3 linked regions of the Macaca mulatta genome follow. The protein of the gene in region 2 binds, or shares a complex with, the protein of the main gene of each other region. Links are inferred from orthologs where the notes say so. Each region holds a gene or a part of one and is shown on either strand. Other genes may lie near its edges. The genes, in order: ARMC8, RANBP9 and GID4.

What was found.
Region 1: the proteins of RANBP9 (region 2) and ARMC8 are in contact, whole or in part, in a cryo-EM structure (PDB 7NSC), measured with the Homo sapiens proteins. The link is inferred for Macaca mulatta from reciprocal best matches to the Homo sapiens genes RANBP9 and ARMC8. Residues at the interface, in NP_005484.2 of Homo sapiens: Tyr271, Gly298, His299, Ser300, Leu301, Gly302, Ile303, Asp337, Asp340, Tyr341, Arg343, Glu344, Thr347; in NP_001350870.1 of Homo sapiens: Gln245, Arg246, Asp247, Val277, Leu278, Lys279, Ile317, Ile320, Thr321, Asp322, His323.
Region 3: the proteins of RANBP9 (region 2) and GID4 are in contact, whole or in part, in a cryo-EM structure (PDB 7NSC), measured with the Homo sapiens proteins. The link is inferred for Macaca mulatta from reciprocal best matches to the Homo sapiens genes RANBP9 and GID4. Residues at the interface, in NP_005484.2 of Homo sapiens: Ser223, Lys224, Gly225, Arg226, Asp227, Gly228, Tyr229, Met230, Gly256, Asp257, Thr274, Phe275, Thr276, Thr277; in NP_076957.3 of Homo sapiens: Leu187, Arg189, Asp194, Glu195, Asn216, Asp218.

The regions. Positions count from the first base shown.
Region 1 is NC_133407.1:41,218,537-41,225,506, reverse strand, and holds part of ARMC8 (armadillo repeat-containing protein 8), read right to left. Parts: intron 4,833-6,970; coding exon 4,761-4,832; intron 3,400-4,760; coding exon 3,257-3,399; intron 3,153-3,256; coding exon 3,055-3,152; intron 1-3,054. UniProt on the Homo sapiens protein: Component of the CTLH E3 ubiquitin-protein ligase complex that selectively accepts ubiquitin from UBE2H and mediates ubiquitination and subsequent proteasomal degradation of the transcription factor HBP1.
Region 2 is NC_133409.1:169,495,098-169,501,335, reverse strand, and holds the end of RANBP9 (ran-binding protein 9), read right to left. Parts: intron 3,748-6,238; coding exon 3,617-3,747; 3' UTR 2,755-3,616; downstream 1-2,754. Other genes in the region: NOL7 (nucleolar protein 7), read left to right, coding at 484-515, 769-850, 1,474-1,595, 1,674-1,751, 2,007-2,080. UniProt on the Homo sapiens protein: May act as scaffolding protein, and as adapter protein to couple membrane receptors to intracellular signaling pathways. Acts as a mediator of cell spreading and actin cytoskeleton rearrangement.
Region 3 is NC_133421.1:19,605,811-19,613,252, forward strand, and holds the start of GID4 (glucose-induced degradation protein 4 homolog), read left to right. Parts: upstream 1-2,257; 5' UTR 2,258-2,419; coding exon 2,420-2,857; intron 2,858-7,442. Other genes in the region: ATPAF2 (ATP synthase mitochondrial F1 complex assembly factor 2), read right to left, coding at 1,847-1,979.

The sequences.
Region 1 (6,970 bases), on a different chromosome or scaffold from region 2:
ATGAACTACAGGAAAATAAATTGATATTTACTAAGTCCTCTATGGGATCCTTTGAGCAAGATGTTTACAGTAAACCAGCAGTTCTCAAAGAAAGAACTTTGAGAGCAGCAGTATCTAAGTTACTTGGAAATTTGTCAGAAATGCAAATTCTCAGGCCACACCCAAGACTCACTGGATCAGAAACTGGAGGTGGAGTCTAGCAATCCCTGTTTAACAAGCCCACCACATAATTCTAGTGCAACCTCAAACACTCTATAGATTTATGAGGCATGACTCCCTGAAGAATGTCACATAAAACCATGAGGTATAAAATAAAGACATTAGGCCAGGAGCGGTGGCTCATGCCTGTAATCCCAACACTTTGGGAGGCTTAGGCGGGCGGAGGTCAAGAGTTCGAGACCAGCCTGGCCAACATGGTGAAACCCCGTCTCTACTAAAAATACAAAAAAAAATTAGCCGGGCATGGTGGTGCACATCTGTAATTCCACCTACCTGGGAGGCTAAGGCAGGAGAATTGCTTAAACCTGGGAGGTGGAGGTTGCAGTGAGTCGAGATCGAGCCACTGCACTCCAACCTGGGCAACAGTGCAAGACTCCATCTCAAAAATAAATTTAATTTAATTTAATTAAAATATATATATATATGTATGTGTTTCATACTGTAGGTGCTCCCTACTGTGTGAGGTGACCCATAAATCTCACCTACTGACCACCTTATGTATCATTAAGGGCCAGAAGAGTATGTGTCTGATGTAGGAAGGACAGACTAGGCAGCCATGTGACATGTCTCCTCTCCATGCTTGCTTTGCCTCTTCCTCTTGATTACTTATAGTCTTGAAACATTTATAAAGCCTGATTCTGGATAAGATCTCTGACTCCTGTGTGTATAATCTGACAATATGATTCGTTGTGTTAGCTCAGATAATCACAACCACCATTTTTTTAAAGAATGAAAAATGATGGCATAGAAACCAGAAGGCATTACATCTGTGGAAATATGTCATGAAACTTGTCTTAGGATTCTTTCACATACACATACATACATGCACACATATACACACACATATACAAATTGACATGTATAGTGAGGCAGGGGAAAATATGCTTCTTGCTGTGAACTGTGAATAAGAGTGTTTAAAAATATTGGCCTAGGGGCCGGGCGCGGTGGCTCAAGCCTGTAATCCCAGCACTTTGGGAGGCCGAGACGGGCGGATCACGAGGTCAGGAGATCGAGACCATCCTGGCTAACACGGTGAAACCCTGTCTCTACTAAAAAAAATACAAAAAACTAGCCGGGCGAGGTGGCAGGCGCCTGTAGTCCCAGCTACTCGGGAGGCTGAGGCAGGAGAATGGCGTAAACCCGGGAGGCGTAGCTTGCAGTGAGCTGAGATCCGGCCACTGCACTCCAGCCTGGGTGACAGAGCGAGACTCCGTCTCAAAAAAAAAAAAAAAAAAATATTGGCCTAATTATCAGTAAGAAAGCCCCATGTAAAGTGACTGTAATTTACAATAATCTATTGTATATTGAAAAATAGCTAGAAGAGGCCGGGCGCAGTGGCTCACACGCCTGTAATCCCAGTACTTTCAGAGGCTGAGGCAGGAGAATCACTTGAACTCAGGAGGCAGAGGTTGCAGGGCCAAGATTCCTCCACTGCACTCCACCCTGGGCGAGAGAGACTCCATCTCCAAAAAAAAAAAAAAAGCCAGAAGAAAAGAATTTGGGCCAAGCACAGGGTCTCATGCCTTCCTCTCCACTTCTCTAAGTCTTATCCATTATTCAAAACCCAGATTAAATTTTAGCTTCTCTGCAAAGCCTACTCTGCTGGATTTCAACTGAAAGTCAGCTGAACTCCCTATCATTCATCTAGCGTAAAATAAACTTCTCTTAAGTTCTACATACAGAGAGATAAAAATGGGTCTTTTTAAAAATAGCTTGTAAATTCCTCAAAGTCTGAGACCGTCTTTCACTTTCTTGCAAAGCTGAGAGCATCTGATATTTGGAAATAAGCAAGAACTTTATTCATGTACTTATTTAGAGACAGAGTCTGCCCTGTCGCCCAGGCTGGAGTAGGGTGGTGTGATCTCAGATCACTGCAACGTCTCCTCCTGGGTTCAAGTGATTTTCATGGCTCAGCCTCCCCAGTAGCTGGCATTGCAGGCATGTGCCACCATGCCTGGTTAATTTTTGCAGTTTTAATAGAAATGGGAGTTTCACCATGTTGGCCAGGCTGGTCTCGAACTCCTGGCCTCAGGTAATATATCCACCTTGAACTCCTAAACTGCTAGGATTACAGGCGTGAGCCACCATACCCAGCTGAGACTTTTATCATTTTTTATTTTTAGTGACAGGATTTCACTCTGTCACCTAGGCTGAGGTGCAGGGGCACCATCATAGCTTACTATAACCTCAAACTCCTAGGCTCACGCAATCCTTCCACTGCAGTCTCATGAGTAGCTAGGACTATAGGCATGCATCATTGCACCAGGCTAATTTATTTTTATTTTTTTCTTGTAGAGATGGAGTCTTGTTGCCAGGCACGGTGGATCACACCTGTAATCCCAGCACTTTGGGAGGCTGAGGTGGGTGGATCACGAGGTCAGGAGTTCAAGACCAGCCTGGCCAAGATGGTGAAACCCCATCTCTACTAAAAATACAAAAAATTAGCCAGGCATGGTGGCACACACTTGTAATCCCAGCTACTCCAGAGGCTGAGGCAGAGAATTGCTTAAACCTGGGGGGGAGTGGAGGTTGTAGTGAGCCGAGATCGTGCCACTGCACTCTGGCCTGGGCAACAGAGTAAGACTCCAACTCAAAAAAAAAAAGAGAGAGAGAGATGGAGTCTTGTTATGTCATTCTGGTTTGTCTTGAACTCCTGGCCTCAAGCAATCCTCCCACCTCAGCCTCCCAAAGCACTGGGATTACAGGTGTGAGCCACCATGTCCAACTGAGACTTTTTTACATAACACAGTTAGGATAAGTCTGAAGATGCTAAGCAAATTAGGAGTAGGCTGTTAGTGAAATGTAACTAATGTCTCAAATCCATCTAAAACTCACTGTATACAGTAGCTCCTCTGGAGTGACAGGACTGGTGAAGATGGTACGCAGGCATCGGAGGCAAGCTTCAATAAACTTCAGGTCTGGGGACAGTAGTCCTATTAACAGAAACTAGATTTAGGACTAATCCTTTCAACCAGTATTTAAAGCACTGCAAACTGATTCTCAGCCTTACTTGAGCAAAAATGGCTTCCCTACGTACCTTGCAATAAGGCAGGGATAATATGGCAGTCCAGTAGAGACTTGACATTGTTTTCAGTACCCATAGCAAGACTTCCCAACACCACTGCACATTCAGTTTTCAGCTCTGTGCTTGAGGTTTCTTGCTGAAGCAAGTACAACAATCTAAAAAGAAGGAAATTAATAAACAAAGAGACTAAAAAATGTAAACAAGACTCAATATGACCAAAAAAGGCTGTGTGGTCCACATACTAAAAATACGGTTGGTTGAGTTTATATGAATCGAATGGTCATTTGTTTATCTCATCTGCTAATTAAAGAAACATCTGGAAAAATCTAGAAGAGGTTTTGAAAACAAGAACTATCATATTCTCAGGGTTTATAAAAAGTGTAAATCTGAAAGTTGTCTACAAGTGGTCTCTGTAGAAACAGCATCATCGAGTCCACGTCATCTACCACTTCCTGTTGGGTCTCCAAAATATGAAGACTCTCAATGCCATGTGCTGCCAGATCTTAAATTCAAACTACAAACAATACTGCTCTGAATCCAGAGCAGTGGTGCAGAGTTTGTAGAGATCGAGCCCAGAGGGAATATTCAGAGCCCTTGTGCAGCTCCTCAAGCAAGGGAAATTTCTTCTTTCTCCACTTCTCATTTGGAAAATGAAGACATCCTCTCATTTCCACTCCAGCCCAGCTTGCCAAACAAATACTCCCCAAACCCTAACCTGTCTCCACTTATAACCATCTACCTTATGTTCTAAGATAGGACCCTCATGCTCCATAAAGTACTATTTATATATACCAAACATAAATCCCCTAAGAAAGGCTGCTGACAGCTTTACAGTTACTAAAGTATACATTTGAGGGTGGTGAGTTAAAACATTTAAACCATTAATTCTGTTTCAAAACCAGAAAATAAGGAGGAAAAAAAACAAAATAATAAATAATTCTGAATGAAAAGCTAACAGCAATTGCACAGAAAACTAGCTCTGAGGAGCAAAAGTAAAGAGGAAGTTACATAACTGTCATTGCCTGCCTAAAGGACGCTTATTAGGTCACCAAAAGAAGAAATTAAACTTCCTAAACTTCCTACATTAACTTAAAAAACAGCAAATTGTTAAAATGAAACTGGATTAAAAATCAAGCAGGGTTTTTTTCCTTTAACTTCAACAAGGTCTTAAGACTCCTAATAAATTACCCACTCACACAAAAAACTGCCAAGGCTCTAAGGAAATGGAGAAGAAAGTATTAAGCTGCTGTACATTGCCTATGTACCTAACAAACCCTTTTATCGTCAGGTCAAAGGTCTTCCAAGTATTAACACATTCACTTCTTATTACATTCTCTGTTACTTTATAATTTTTTTCCTTAGAGATGGTGTAAATACTTACGCTTATTTTTAAAAATAGGATTTATTTTAAGAATTAAATAGACAATACAGGAAAAAATGGGTTCTATTATTGAAAGTAAGAAATACATTAGAAATTAGTATGAATGGCACGAAAGGGGTGAGACAGCAAATATACCTTGGAACAGCTCCTAAAACAATGAGATTGGCTTTCTGCTTGTTGTTTCCAATTACAGCATTTTTCATGTCTCTGAATTAAGGGGAAAAAAAAATAAAGTATGTTGAGATAGCACTGAAAAAAATCAAAGATCATTCTACTTCATTATGCAATATCTCAGATTTGACAAAGTAAAAGCACTAACCTTTTTTCATCTAAAGTACTAACGAAGGGATAGAGATAGGTGCAGAGTGAACGTGGGGGCTGTAAAACAGGCAAGTATTGTAGAAAGTGAGAGATATCCTGAGTACCGGCAAAATACTTCCAGTACAGAATTGAGTTCTTTTAAAAAGGGTACCTACCAATTCTTTGGATATAAAGGAATGTAGGCCACTTTCCCACTCAGCTCTGGGAGTAGGGAGTGAGTTAAACAAACAACAACAACAACAACAACAAAAAACAGCCCACAGAACATTATCTCCTTGTTTCAAGGATCACACGTTGTTCACTTTTTTCTTTTTTTTCTTGATGTCTTTATTTCTTATAATTTCATTTTATCTGCTTTATTGTCTTACTAACTGTATTCCTTTGTTGTTTTCCAATGCATCTTTTAAGTTATCACAGTCAGTCTTCAAGTGATATTAGCCCATTGCATATGTATTTTAAGAGCCTCACGTATGTATTTCCATTTTCCCATTCATTTTTTGGGCTGTTGTTATATAATATTTTTAAATTGCTTAGAAACAACATAATACATTGTTACTATTTTTGCTTAAGCAAAATTATCTCTTAAGGAGATTAAAAAAATAACAACAAATCTTTTACATTTCTCAGATATTCAGGTATTTTTTATTCTAGCTACACAGAGCACTATACTTCACCAGGAGCAAAACCCTATTCCACAATAAGAGAACCTCTACCACTGATCAATTGGCTCACAAATTTGTGGTTGGTTCAAAAGGAAATGTAGAGAAAAAATAAATAGCTCAAAATAAACCCAGTACTACCAATAAAATCTTTAAAAAAATACTTCCCCGGCTGGGCGTGCTGACTTACGCCTGTAATCCCAGCTCTTTGGGCGGTCTAGGCAGGCAGATTGCTTGAACTCAGGAGTTTGAGACCAGACTGAACAACATGGTGAAACTCCATCTCTACAAATAATACAAAAATTAGCCAGTTGTGGTGGCATGCACTTGTCGTCCCAGCTACTTGGGGGGCTAAGGTGGGAGGATCACTTCAGCCAGGGAGGTGGAGGTTACAGTGAGCAGAGATCAGACTGCACTCCAGTCTGGGCGCCAGACCGAGACTCCATCTCCAAAAAAAAAAAAAAAAAAAATCAACAAATAAATGTTAGAGTCAGCATATATTTCTAACACCAATCATATTTACTGGCGTTAAAGAACCTGGTAACAATTAATCCTTGTCTCCAATTGCCTTTTTTGATCATTGCAGAAAAATACTGCAACAACTAGTGATGTGTTAAAAGCAGATTTTCCCTACAAGTTTCTGAATGGCATTTTTACAAGTCGAGCCAAACACTGAGAATGCCTGGTTTTTCTTCCATTAGCTCAGTGCCTGAGGGTACGGCTTTTTTTCAAGGCCTGACCTATCCCTCTGTAAAGTATCCCTCAGATCTTCTATATGGTTTTCAAGAAATAAGTAGCAATTTTTTTGTTGTTGTTTATGGGACTGAACTGAATGAAGTTTACTGAGGTTGTTAGCAAGTTCTGACACATGAATATAAAGCTATATGATATCAAAGGCTCAATTAGCAAAGTTAAAGTTAGTAAGAGATTGTATTTCTAAGCTCCTGCATCCTCATGGAGGCCTGTTTTCTTTAGAGGCTTTAGTTCATAATCATCAGCATATGGACCTTAACCTACCAGCTTGTTGTTTACTTTCATCATCTCCCTTTCTCTTAATGTGTTCTGCCTATACTAATGCAGCACATTCATTTGTCCAGCCCATCTAGAGTCTGTGTAGGCTAAGTGCCATTCTGAGTGCTTTCTATTCCAGAACTCCCAACCCTAATATTTCCACAGTTTTTCCTCTCCATTCTTCTTAATTAAGCAGAAATGAGGGGTCCCTAACATTACCAAATGAACCCATTCCCAACATCTGAAACCATGCCATGTTTTTATAGACAAGAGCAAACAAAAACCCCTCCAACCCAAATTTTCTAATTCTCTTAATAGTTTTACAAAAAGGACATGGAGGTAACTGATGGCAAT
Region 2 (6,238 bases):
TCACTTCCGCTTTTGTGTGGCCTTTCTCCTGTGCAAATGCTTGTGTATTGTATTCTGTCCATTTACATTTCTCTCTCCATTGTTCACTGTCTCCTGTGCCTACACTATTAAATTAATCCTTTGTGATTTCTCCAAATGAAATGAGGCAGGCCTACTACCATTCACTTCATATTTCAAATACTATATAACTTGTTATTAAGTGTTTCACTTGAACTCCATTGCCCATAGCATTTTGCTGCTTTGGAAGCCTGCTAATAGGCTTTCAGATTTACATTGTGAAGATCTTCCAATGATTGAGAGTTGGTGGCAGTGTACTGGGGAGTGACTGTTGCTTTCCAAACTGAGAGCTCCTGAGTAGAAATTGAGGGTGTTGGTAATGAAAGGGAGTGTCTTGCTTGTAAAGTCAGATGAAATAATATAACATATTTTGAGTAACCTTTGCTATCTGCCATTCCAGTCAGTGGTTTTGTTTTTTTCCCTTAGTGTCAAGAAATCGCCAGGAAAGGTCAAAGAAGGTATGACTATTCTAATTTAAATAACTTTTCACGTAAGTGTCAAGTGCACTTGCAGATGTTTCCAGTCAAATATGAATGGCCCTTAGAAAGCCACGGGCCTGGCCAAGGTTAGCTGGGGCCTATTCCCTGTATTTCATACAAATAAAAACTGCATCCACATGGGTGTGTAGTGGATGCTTAAAGTGAACTCCAGTAAATTTCCTGATTTATTTTTACATGAATGCTAATTAGCAAATGTAACTCCATTTTTTAGTTAATTTGCAAAAGAAAAATGAAGACTGTGAAAAAGGAAATGACTCCAAAAAAGTTAAAGTACAAAAAGTACAGTCTGTCAGGTAATGAATCTTTTGTTTTATTTGGGATATAAAGGAGACCTCTAAGAGAGTTAAAGTATTGGCTAACATGGGAAATATTTTAATTAGTAGTAATTTCAGATTGGATTCTCTGTGGAAAAATCAGTTTTGGGCTGGGCACGGTGGCTCACACTTGTAATCCCAGCACTTTGGGAGGCTGAAGCAGGTGGATTGCTTGAGTCCAGGATTTCAAGACCAGCCTGGGCAACATGGTAAAGCCCAGTCTCTACACAAAATAAAAAAAGTAACTGGGCGTGCTGGTGTGCTCTACTAAAATATGAGTGTTAGTCTGTTTCTTGTAGTCCTGTAATTTAGTTTTATTCTATCTGTGCATATACAAAATTAGTTTCATTTATCACAGTGAGACAAATGATAAAAATATATTAAAGCAAGCATGTAGGCCGGGTGCAGTGGCCCATGCCCGTAATCCCAGCACTTTGGGAGGCTGAGGCAGGCAAGTTGCTTGAACCTGGGAGGCAGAGGTTGCAATGAGCTGAGATCGTGCAGTCTGAGTGACAGAGTGAGACTCTGTCTCGGGCGGGGGTGGGGGGGAGAGAAAGCAAGCATGTATTAATTCTTTTTTAACCTTTTATATTGATGAACAGCCAGAATAAAAGCTACTTGGCCGTCAGGCTAAAAGACCAAGATCTGAGAGATTCAAGGCAACAAGCGGCACAAGCCTTCATACATAATTCATTATATGGGCCAGGAACCAACAGGACTACTGGTAATTTTTTTATGGACTATTTTCCTCACTTTTTACTGCAAATAAAACTATGAAATGATAAATACCTTTCATTTCTAGTAAATAAGTTCCTGTCTCTTGCCAACAAGAGGTCACCAGTGAAAAAGGCTGCTGTCCAGTTTTTGAATAATGCTTGGGGTAAGATCCAGCTTTATTCTCCTGTCTTTTAATAGCTTTATATGTTGAATCATGTTCTTTTGAAGGAGATAGTTCATAATTATATGCCCCTTATAATGGCTTATATAACTTGTGAAAAACAGGTCAATGTAGTATGTATATACATCTAATGTATAATAAGCCCACCCAGTTTTAGTAATTACATTCATGTAGAGAATTATAAAAATTTTGAATTATGTTTCTCTAATACTCTTACTGCACAACTTTCTATTCTAGGAATCCAGAAAAAACAAAATGCCAAGAGGTTTAAAAGACGGTGGATGGTCAGAAAGATGAAAACTAAGAAGTAAATCAATGCTAAATGAAGAATCTGTACTTTGTATGTATAGAATTTATCTAATAAATTATTGGTAGATAATTTTAAAGGATCATTATAAAAATCATAAACCTATTTGAGGAATTACTCAACCACATTTCATTCTTCTGGAGTAGAATTGTGCCTTGCAATCCTAGAGGAAAAAGTGGTTTAAGAAGGAATTTTCTTTTTAATGTATTTAACTGAATTCAAGCCATACTCATACCAGCAATAGCACCTCGTCTACTCTCCCCGACTGGGGGGTGGGAGGGGTGGCAAAAATGGCACGGACAAAAAGGAGAAATGGACATTCCAGAAAAGTCTCCAACTGCAGCCCTTAGACAATTTGCTGTTAAAGATTCAGTGGACAAAATATAGCTAACTAACAGCGTTTAAATTTTTACTTTTAACCAGTCTGGGGTTGCCTGGTGAGTCTCATATGCCATATTATGAATATGAAAAAAATGAATTTAATTTCCTGTTGCCTTTCTGTGTCACCCATAATATCAGGTTTAACCCTAATCCAGGGATGCCAGTAAACTGAAGGCAGTTTTAGGTTGTAGAACTCAGATTAATTGTAGAAACCATTAATTTTAATTGCTCTAATTTTCATATTAATCATAAAAAGTATGCAAGTACCTAATATATAAACTCAATTGACACTGTATCTGTAGAAGTAAATTTTTAATGGCTGGTTAATTATATCACTACATTTTATTGCAATATAGTACTCATTTAAGCACTTAAAAATGGAAGGTGTACAAAGATTAAATTAAGACACGGTAAATTGACTAAATATTTGGTTTTTATATAAATAAAGGTCATAACCACACCGTTGACATGTAATACTGTTATAATACAACAGTTAAACTTGTGAGTCTACAACAGAAGTCATCTGTAGTTAAACAGGAAACAAAGTTGAAAAAGACCATGTTAAAACAAAACTACTGGGACTAACAGGTTGGGATTGTAAGTAGCAACAAACATATTCACTCAGCTCCTGAGTATTTCAAGTTTTACAGTACACATTAAAAATGATTTCTTCCATCAACACTATAAATTCAAACTGTCGGATGTTTATGCATTTTGCAAGTTACACTGATTGAATGCTTATATGGGAGTGGGGGTCGGAACATCTCCCAATTTGAAGTTTACATCACCCACATGCTAACACAAACACAACTTGTTCCATTTCCTTCCCCTCTCTCCCCCCTCCCCCACAAAGAAGGCAGGATTTTTGGTTTCTTTTAGGTAATTGTTTTAAAGGATTTGTGATGATCAATTTGAACGTCTGAAATTCAGTAATATTTAACTCTTAGACAACTAAGAGGTTAAAGATGGAAAATAATTTCTCCTAACACTAAGTTAGAAAATCATTTGCATCATGCTGTAAACTAGGAAGCAATGTAAAGCGACAAAAACCTGTCCCCAGTACATAATTTAAAAAATCTAAATTTCAAATCAGCAGAGCTGGTCTACTTCCATGTTGACTATATGCCACAATATAAGTGTGAGCTCTTGAAATGCATAGCTAATGTAGGTAGTCTTCCACTGTGGCAAATGCGCAGGATCCAATTCCTGATCGAGCCATCAGTCCTAGACATTGTGTGGCCTGTCCCATTGCTAGGGCAAGTGGAGGTTGCTTTGGCAGATTGTGGGTTTCTGAAGAAAAATAATTTAAAAATGAAAACAGCAATTAGCAAGACATTTTAAAAAACATTTCAATCAGGAGAATACTGCATGACTTTAAAAACTACCACTCCCATACCACTCTGAAATATCAGCAAATGAAGGTTCCTAAGCAAAAGATGCCTTGGACATACTATTCTGACAAGGTAGTATGGGTATTGTCTATCCAGCGATAAGATAAACTCTTGCAGAATCAGATTTTTAAAGTATCAGATACTAAAAAACTGATTTCCATATTAACTATGATGTTTTGGAAAGGTACAACTTTTTATTTGATATTTGGAGTGGAGAGTAAGGAATTATTTCCCTTCTGGTTGATCAAAGTCAGCTGATACTAAAACTAAAAAGGCAACAGGTTTTCATTATGAGTTTCCACTGATGGGTTCTTCCACCTCTGTGGATGGGACCAAACTGAGGCTGCCTAGCCATCTCCAAGGCATATATAGGTAATGTTATTTGGGCTGGTGGGGAGTAGGTGTTGGTGGTGACAGTGAGAGAACATACAGTAGAGCCACCCTGCAGTTTTGGAGGTGCTAATTTACAATGGACAGTTCAGACATTTTTAAAAAATGCCAATAAGTTTTCAGGGTCCTTTGTCAGACATTTGTAGTACAAATGCAATAATTACCAAAATTTGTTCCTTGCCAGAGATGAAAAACCATGAACTAATGGTAAAAGTAGCCAGACTCAGAAGCTGGTAGTTTCTCTTTATGAGAAGGCAATGTCCAACTAATCAATAAAACTACTGATCAGTTCTTTATAGGCACAGTTGACAACAAAGGGCAAAAACAGTGACACATGGCTAGGAAGGCTCCATATGGTTTAACTCCACTCTTGGTTCAGAGGATGCAAATTGATGGTGGGAGAAAGAAGAGGAAATTTGCAAAAGGGAAAAAGCATAATATCAAAAATAAGCAAATTCAGGACTTAGAAAACAAAACAAAAACAGGATTAAGAATAAAAGTGTGCAAAAAAGGCATGTAGACTGGTGAGAAAGTATGGTGTCTTGAGGGTTTACAGGGAAGACCGTGCTCAAAGGCAAGCATCTACAGGGAGTATTTTTAAAATTTTATTTTGGTCAAAGGAAGCATTTGGTGATACATCTTTAACTTTTTTGGATATATGAAATTTTCATAACACTATATACAGATAGCCCTACATAAATAGCATGGTATTTATAAACATACATACCCATCTATAGCAATTTAATAATTGTGTCATTAATTTTATAGGAATCACATGCATTTATATTAATAAGATTAAGCACTATTTATAGCTGATTCTACATAATATAGAACAATATGTCAGAGTACATGTGTCTATAGATAATGGTGCTCAATTAAATTCCCTTGAAGAACTCAAGAAATTAAACTTAAAGAAAACGGGTCACTTTTTCTCAAATTCTTTCCAAGATTAGTATCATCTAATAATTAGGTCTTAATGATTACCTACAATATGGTAACTTCGAAAAGACAATTATAGTAAACCATAATTTTCTGTACAATTCCAGCATTATTACTAAGTTACTTTTATCAATGGAGCTAAATGAATTTTGTAGAACCAATGAAAATATAACACATTAACCAAAGAAAATTCACATTTATATACAAATCCTAAATTTCAGAGAACTACAGCACTAAGGACACTACTCCTATTCCCAAACTTCAGTACTGATCCTTAACAAATCAATAAATTTTCTAAGGGCAAAGAAACAGACTGAGGCTCAAATATGAATGCTTTTCCTTGCTTCCTTTACATTCTTGCCATAAGAGTCCTGGCCCTCGTTTGCAAGTCTCCTTATCTAAACTACTCTTTCATCTACTTTTTGTGGCACTGCCCTCATCTTCCTAAAATAATTTGAAATATGTGACTAAAAGTTTCTGAACCTTGCAGGGCCAAACAGCACAGCACAGACTTCTAAACTAGACTGGAGTCCCAATTACCTGGGAATTAAGACTCAAAGTCAAATAAAAACTCACTCTTTACGCAAATTACCTTTGATGAGAACTGCCCAAAACTCAAATTTGTTTTATGTAAACAATCGACCATACCACATTTATATAGAAATGCACAATATGTGCAGTTACACAATTCATACAAAAAGTATTTGTTCAGTATATAAATACTAGAATCATACACTCTACAGTGAGTTGCTCATAGGAATGGCAACCAAACAGGAACATCGAATTAGAGTTTCGCACTTCATGCTCACCCCTGGCTAAGCCTCACCTTTTAAATTGCTTTTCTCTTCCTCACCCACCCTTTTTATTGGGTGAGGGTACGTAGTTGAATCTGGCTAATATAAATGCAAATAGAATTTGACATCAAGGCTTGGTCCTGCAGGGTACTCACAAGTCACCTGGAAGGCCCTTGTGCTCGTATTCATAAGCATGGTGGGAGCTGTAATACCCGTGGCTTAGGCTGCCGCTACCCATTGCAAATAGCTCAAGCAAAATGGTGGGGA
Region 3 (7,442 bases), on a different chromosome or scaffold from region 2:
AGTGAGTCAAGATTGTGCCATTGCACTCTAGCCTGGGTGACAAGTGCAAAATTCCATCTCAAAATAAATAAATAAATATATATATACACACACATTAAAAAATTAATTAATTAACCCTTTGCTTTTTGCCAACTTGGTGAACTCCCGAATGTGTCCCCTTTGCTATGCCTCCCCAGGATGCCCTTCCTTCCTCTTCTTTACTGGCCCTTCATGGCCCATTTCCAGGCCCTTCCCCTGAGTCCTACAGGTGAAACTTCAGCTCCCTGCTGCATCCAGCCCCCTTCCCCATTTCTATAAAGTTATAGAACTTGGACAGGTGCAGTGGCTCACGCCTGTAATCCCAGCACTTTGGGAGGCCGAGGCAGGCAGATCACAAGGTCAGGAGTTCGAGACCTGTCTGGCCAACATAAACCCCATCTCTACTAAAAATACAAAAATTAGCTGGGCCTGGTGGCAGATGCCTGTAGTACCAGCTACTCAGGAGGCTAAGACCAGAGAATCACTTGAACCTGGGAGGCGGAGGTTGCAGTGAGCCGAGATCGCGCCACTGCACTCCAGCCTCCACGACAGAGTGAGACTCTGTCTCAAAAAAAAAAAAAAAAAAGAAACAAAGAAAAAAAAAAAAGAACTCAATAGCCAGAAAGATCCTCAAAGACAACCTAGTACTTCAACTCATGCAGAAAAATTAGGAAGTAGTTGCATGCCCAAGATCACACAGACCTCAGAGGTTTTGCCAGTATCAGATCCTAGATTTGCACTCCTGCCACAATGCCAAACTGTCTGTGAAGTTCTCAAGTTTCTAAAGCAGGCAGTGTTAGGGAAAAGTCCCTCATATCTTGCTGTCACCCTGGACATGTTCTAGATACCCAACACTCTCCCACCTTCTTGCTGAACTCCTACTCATCTATCATGGCTCAGCTTAAATGCCCTTTCACCCAAGACCCATTCTAAACCCTGAACAGCCCCAAGACGGGAGCAGGTGATTCTCCGTGTTTTCACAGCTTCTTTGTATGTCCCTTATCAGGATATTATACCCTTTGCACTCAACAGTGAACATCATTCAGGTGGGTCTTTTTCTTCTTTAACTGAGCTTCTCTACCAATACATACAGGTGGGTCTTAAAGACTACCGTGTCTCCTGCCTCCAGCACTATAAAACTAATTGAATGGTGGGAGGGTGTTACTGCTTTTCATTCACTGAAATGAATCATTCTCACTCTTACCCTAACACCACTCACCATCAGCAATGAAAGAACCACTACGTCTGAGCTTCATCAGAGTTGGAGGTGGAGGTGACTCCACAGTCAAAGGTGGAGATGTCAATTTCTATTTAGCAGAGAAGGCTGCAGATGGCAGAGGTTGTGGTAGGAGGGAAAGTCAGGAAACCTGCAGCTGAAGTGCCCAGGATGGAGGAATGAAGGTCTAGGTTCTAGGTCCCTTCTGTGCAGGTATTGTGTTGGGCAGTGGAGACACGGAAAGCAGTCAGACACCTCAAATCTCTGAGACAGTCTGTCTGTAACCTAGGCGAAGTCCTGATTCAGAGCCCAAACTTCCCCTTTTGAAAACAAGGATGACACCTTATTTCCTAGGGAGGGCAGCCATAAGCTTTGAGAAAAGCTGCACAGGCCAAATATCAATTACTGTATCGTGCGTCACTCGCTGTTCCCTCTCGGGTCGTCTGCCCTTGTCTGGGCTTCACTTTCTCATCTGTAAAAAGACTTGACCGGCTTGCATAACCTCATGAGCCTGAACCCTGCCTCAGTCACCTCGCTTTGCATAGCCGAAGCCCGAAGCCCACCTTACCCCAGCTCGGCCCCTACCCAAAAGAGAACGTGTCATAGTCTTACCTGTCGGCGGGGCGTAAGCCCGGGCTGGAGACGGGATGGTTGGCCCCGGACTCATAGAAGCGCAGGGACCACCCGCAGGCCGATTCAGGAGACGGCGTCCCCCGTCCCGCAGCCGGAGGCAGCTCCTCCACATCGCGCCCGAGGGTCTGGGAAGATGCGCGACGCGAAACCTGGAGCAGGAAACACAGAGCGAAGGGACCCCCAAAACCGCACGTTCGGGCTGTACGGAAACCTCTCACCGCTTCCTCAAAGCCCTCAGCCTCCCTTGGACGCCGCCATCTTCCGCATGACACCAACGGCGCGCCGTCGCCTTCGCAAACCTCCTGCGCACACCCCCAGTCAATCAGCATCACAAACGCACCTCGCCCCGCCCCCTCCACGCCGCGCCTCGGCGAGGAGACTACAAGTCCCAGCGGGCCGCTCGCGCACCCCGCCACGTGTTTTCTCCTCCCGCCAATGGGCGGAAGCGCCGCGTGAGCCTGCTCCCGCCCCCGAGGCTCGCCCGAGCCAATCGGAAGGGGCGGGGTGTGTGTGTGCGTGTGTGAGTGTGTCTGTGAGTGTCTCTGTGTGTGTATGTGTGCGCGAGGGCAAGTCGGGAGGGGGACCCAGCTCAGGACTGGGAGGCCCTGCTCGCAGGTCCCTGGGTCCCGGTGGCGGCCAGAGCGCTTGGTCCGCAGGCAGCGGGCGGGTGGTCGCCCCTCCCGCCCCCACCCCGCGCGTGCGCGCCCCGGCCTCTCCCTCCCCGCCACCCTCCTCGGCTCCCGCGCGGCGGCGGCGGTTCCTCTCCCACTCCCCCCAGCCCTGGCTCCGGGGGACCCCGCGATGCCCGTCCGCACCGAGTGTCCCCCGCCGGCCGGTGCCTCGGCTGCCTCCGCGGCCTCACTCATCCCGCCGCCGCCCATCAACACCCAGCAGCCCGGCGTGGCCACCAGTCTGCTCTACAGCGGCTCCAAGTTCCGCGGCCACCAGAAGAGCAAGGGGAACTCGTACGACGTAGAGGTGGTGCTGCAGGTGAGCGCCGGGCCGGGCCGGGGCCCGAGGGCCTCCTCGCGGCGCTCACGGGCCGTGCCCGCCTCGGCTCCTCGAGCCCGCAGCCGCGGAACAGGCCCTCGCCGCCGGGGCCTCCTGCACCCGGCGCTTCCCACCCGGGACCTGCCCAGCCTGTGTCTCACACTCTCCGAGCCCCAGCCCTGACCTGCCCCTTCGGACCCGGAGCCCGTCGTGACCGGCTCCCGGCGGACCCCGAACACTCCCAGACTTGAAGCCCGTGACCGGCCCGTCTGGGATCCGGAAGCCCCTCATGACTAGGGAAAGGCCTGGGTCCTTCCTCCCCATGACCTGTCGTCCCTAGATCAGGGACTGCCACCAGCCCTTTTCAGACCCTGAAGCACTCTCCATTGGTTTCACCAGACTCGGGACCCTCCCCGTGTCTGGGCCCATGTCAGATTCTCTCAGACCTGAGACATGCCCTCCCGCCCCTTCCTCAGTCCCAGGAATCCGCAGACCCTGGGGTCTTCCTGCTCCTGAGATCTCCTTAGGAGGGCTTCATCAGACCCCCAGACGGGGGAGCGCCTAACCCACAACTGACTGGTCAGGCCCTGGCCCCACCTCAAGACCAGGCACTCACTCCCTGAGTGCCGCTCACAGTCTGCTGGGATGTTGCCTCCTGGGTCCCCTGTTCCACTCACTGCTTCTGTCTTTTCATGGTCCAGGCACCCAACTCCTTCCAGCTTCTCTACCCCCAGGCCTCCTGCCCCTGCTCTGGGACCACTTGCGGTCTTTTCCCAGTCTTCCTGGCCTCTATCCAGACTCCCCCATCCCATACCTTCGTCTTGCCTGATCCTGGTTCCAGGGGACCCTCTTTCCTATTCTTAACTGTTCTCAGCGGCACAGGGCTTCCTCTCAGTCTCTGGTACCCACGTACTGGGAAATCTAACTCACCCAATTTTAGTTCATGTCCAGTCGCTTCCCCCCATTTGACCTGGATTCCTAAATACCTGCTGCCAGTCCCTGATCAGCTTCGGAAGTACAGCTTCACCTGTCTGGGCCTTTCCCACACCTCACTCCTCTCAGGCTTGACACTTTCTGCCAGCTGAAATGGAGTAGCAGTGGTGAATACTCCTTTTTTTTTTTTTTTTTTTGAGACGGAGACTCGCTCTGTCGCCCAGGCTGGAGTGCAGTGGCCGGATCTCAGCTCACTGCAAGCTCCGCCTCCCGGGTTTACGCCATTCTCCTGCCTCAGCCTCCCGAGTAGCTGGGACTACAGGTGCCCACCACCTCGCCCAGCTAGTTTTTTGTATTTTTAGTAGAGATGGGGTTTCACCGTGTTAGCCAGGATGGTCTCGATCTCCTGACCTCGTGATCCGCCCGTCTTGGCCTCCCAAAGTGCTGGGATTACAGACTTGAGCCACCATGAATACTCCTTTTTATCTCCCTTCCCTACTAAACTCTTCCTCCTCTATACCTACCCCTGCCTGCCCGAGGACCCCTTTCCTTTGCCCTTTTTTCCTTAGTCTGACACCTCGTCTGCCAGGCTGTTCCCAGAAGCCCCTCCAAACACCTGTCCCTCTGAAAGGCACTGTGTGCTGCCCCACTGCCCCCCTCCCCGCCCCCCGGGTGTGAGGGTGGAATGTACCGTATATCTGTTCCTCAAGCTTTCCTTTTGGTCAGTTAAAACAAATCTTAGTTTCACTTCTGAAGAGTAGGTCTCCCATCCAAAAGACAATGAGGGTCCCTTTTCTGCTAACTGCAGAGCACTCATCACTCTTTTATTCTCATATTGCTTTGTGGGAATAAATCGTCTTCTCTGCTTACTTGAAACAGCATCATCATGTTAATCATATCTTTGGGCTGTAAAGTTCTATCATGAACCACGATATTTATTATAATGGAAAAACGATTGTGGCTGAAATATTTTTATCTTCATAACTGTATGCCTAATGCGGTGATCTTCTTCTCTTTTTCTTAAAATGTGAGAGTCGAGTATGAAGGTACTGGGGTTTTTTGGTTTGTTTTACACCTAATCATAGAATTTTGGAGGTGAGATCCCTGGGTGGGTCACGTTTGGAATGATCTTGGATTTGTCCCTGTTGCTCAGTTTGATGGTTTCTGATGTAGTAGGGGACAACTGGCAGGATAGCCAGGCATCAAAGAGGAGTCTGCTTTGGCTACTGCAGCAACTGCTGCTCCCTTCCATCATTAAGGTGTCACTTCTGAGCTCCTTTCAGAAGAATCATGAACCAGTGGAAGCTGTGGTTGAGTTGGGGCAGGGCTGACAGGTCTCAGGCAGCCCAGAGCAGAAACCTGGTGGATGACTGGGAGCCACTTGAGTAGGATGTCTGATGGTGGGGGTGGTGGTCATGCCAATGAATGCTGCCCTACATCTGGATTGGTGAGCTGCTTGGTCATCATCACGACTAGTCAGTGGCATGTGAATTGCCCCATCATCTGGTTTTTCAGCCAGGACTAGTTTGTCAGACACAGCCTTCTTAGACTTACTTCTGCCTTTTATAACTCAGCTTCTTTTTGTTTCTTCTCATTTTCTTTTCTTTCTTTTTGTATCTTTATTTAGATATAATTCACTTATTTAAAGTGTACAATTCAGTAGTTTTTAGTATATTCACAGTTGTTTAACCACCACCACAACCTAATTTTAGAATATTTTTGTCACCCCAAAAGGAAACCTTGTAACCCTTAGCCATAACCCCCCTTCCAATGCTAGGCAACTGCTCATCTATTTTTGTTGTTGTTTGTCTATTCTGGACATTTCATGTAATCATACAGTATTTGTCCCTTTGAGAGTGGCTTCTTTCACTTAGCATAATGTCCTCGAGGTTCAGCCATATCGTAATATGTATCAGCACTTATATTGCATTGTTCATTGTAACAATTGTCCATTGAATGGATATACAATATTTTGTTTATCCAGTGATCAGTTGATAGACATTTGGGTTGTTTTCACTTCTGGCTACTATGAATAATACTACTATGTACATTTATGTACAAGTTTTTATGTGGAGTATATTTCATTTCTGTAGATAACTACCTGGGAGTGGAATTGCTGGGTCACATGGTAACTCTGTTTTAACATTTTGAGAAACTGCCCCTGCATTGTTTCACATTTCCACCAGCAGTGGGTGAGGGTTCCAGTTTCTCCGCATCCTCACCAACACTCACTGTTCATCTTTTTTATTGTAGCCGTCCTAGTGTTTTTGAAGTGGTCTCTCATTGTAGTCTTGATTTGAATTTCTATAATTACTGTGATGTTGTGCATCTTTTCATGTGTTTTTTGTGTTGTTGTTGTTGTTGTTGTTTTGGAGCATTTTCTTTTTTGTGATTCTAATTTAAAGAGTTCCTCAAAGCTTTGTGAGTTTCTGACTGGGTCTCCTCTCCACCCCCAACTTACTGTGACTTCTCTTTCCTCCTCTGCCATCTAAGAAGCCAGCAGTAGAAGGGAGGCCTGGTCGCTGTGAAAGGAATATTTAAAAGAGCAGCCGTTGGACACAGCTGTGCTGTGAGACCTTCTTGCTAAACATGTGCCCTGTTATCTTTCTTGAGATGCTCGCCTGCCATTTGGCAAAAGCTGTATGCATTGTGGTGTGTTTGAGTTCACCAACCATTATCAAGATCAATTTGGGCAGAAATAGAGAGACACTTGGTTGAATGGAGGCCAAGCTGAAATTCTGATTCTTGAGCATGTGATAATCCATGCAAAATGTTAGCCAATTTACATTTCAATTTTTAATCTTATTAGCAAGTATTCTTGCCACCTGATACCCTTTCCAGCAGCTGCAAAACCCCAAACTATATTGAATTCAATGAGAATTGCATGCATGAAATTTAAAGACTCAGGTTAGAATTATGTGTCCTTTAATAAAAGTTCTTTGCTGAACCATGTTAGTGTGGATTAGCTGTTTTAGATAATGTCCAATGGCAAGGTTAGCAAATGAGGATATTTACAATGCTTTGGCAGTTTTCACAGGGAATACCTTTGTCACCAGCACCAAACTGTGAAGGCACTTTGGCTTCATTGAAGTCCATTTGCTTTGGTACTGACATCATCTGGTTGACTAAGTTCATTACAGTTTTTAAGCATGGCTTGCTATTTGGTTTATGGTATAATTGGAAGTAATCAAGCTCACAAATGCGATAAATGCCACAAAACTATTCTAATTTCTTGAAATAAGACCTCACTTACCATTAAAATCTCAGTGTACCGCAGGTACCCTTGTACTTGGTTTGCTTTAATTCAAGGGTTTAACTTGTAAGTGAATCCAGTTGTCATGAAATCTGAAACTCCCTATTCAGAACAAGTCTGTATAGATTTAAGCGAAATCTCACATCAGGAGGAGTTTTGAGGTGACGTGGCTTCAGGTTGGTTAATTCAGAGACCTACGATGGGCCCAGTTTTTTCCATCTTTCTATACTACCATCCTCAGCATTTCCTGGCCTATTTCTCACCTGCTGTCTACATGTCTGCCCCAGGACTCCATGCAGATACTGTCACCACCAGGGGACAAAAAAGCCATTTCTTCCTCATGCACCTCTTCAAAAGCCAGGGATTTTTCACAGATACACCCAGGAGACTTACACATCT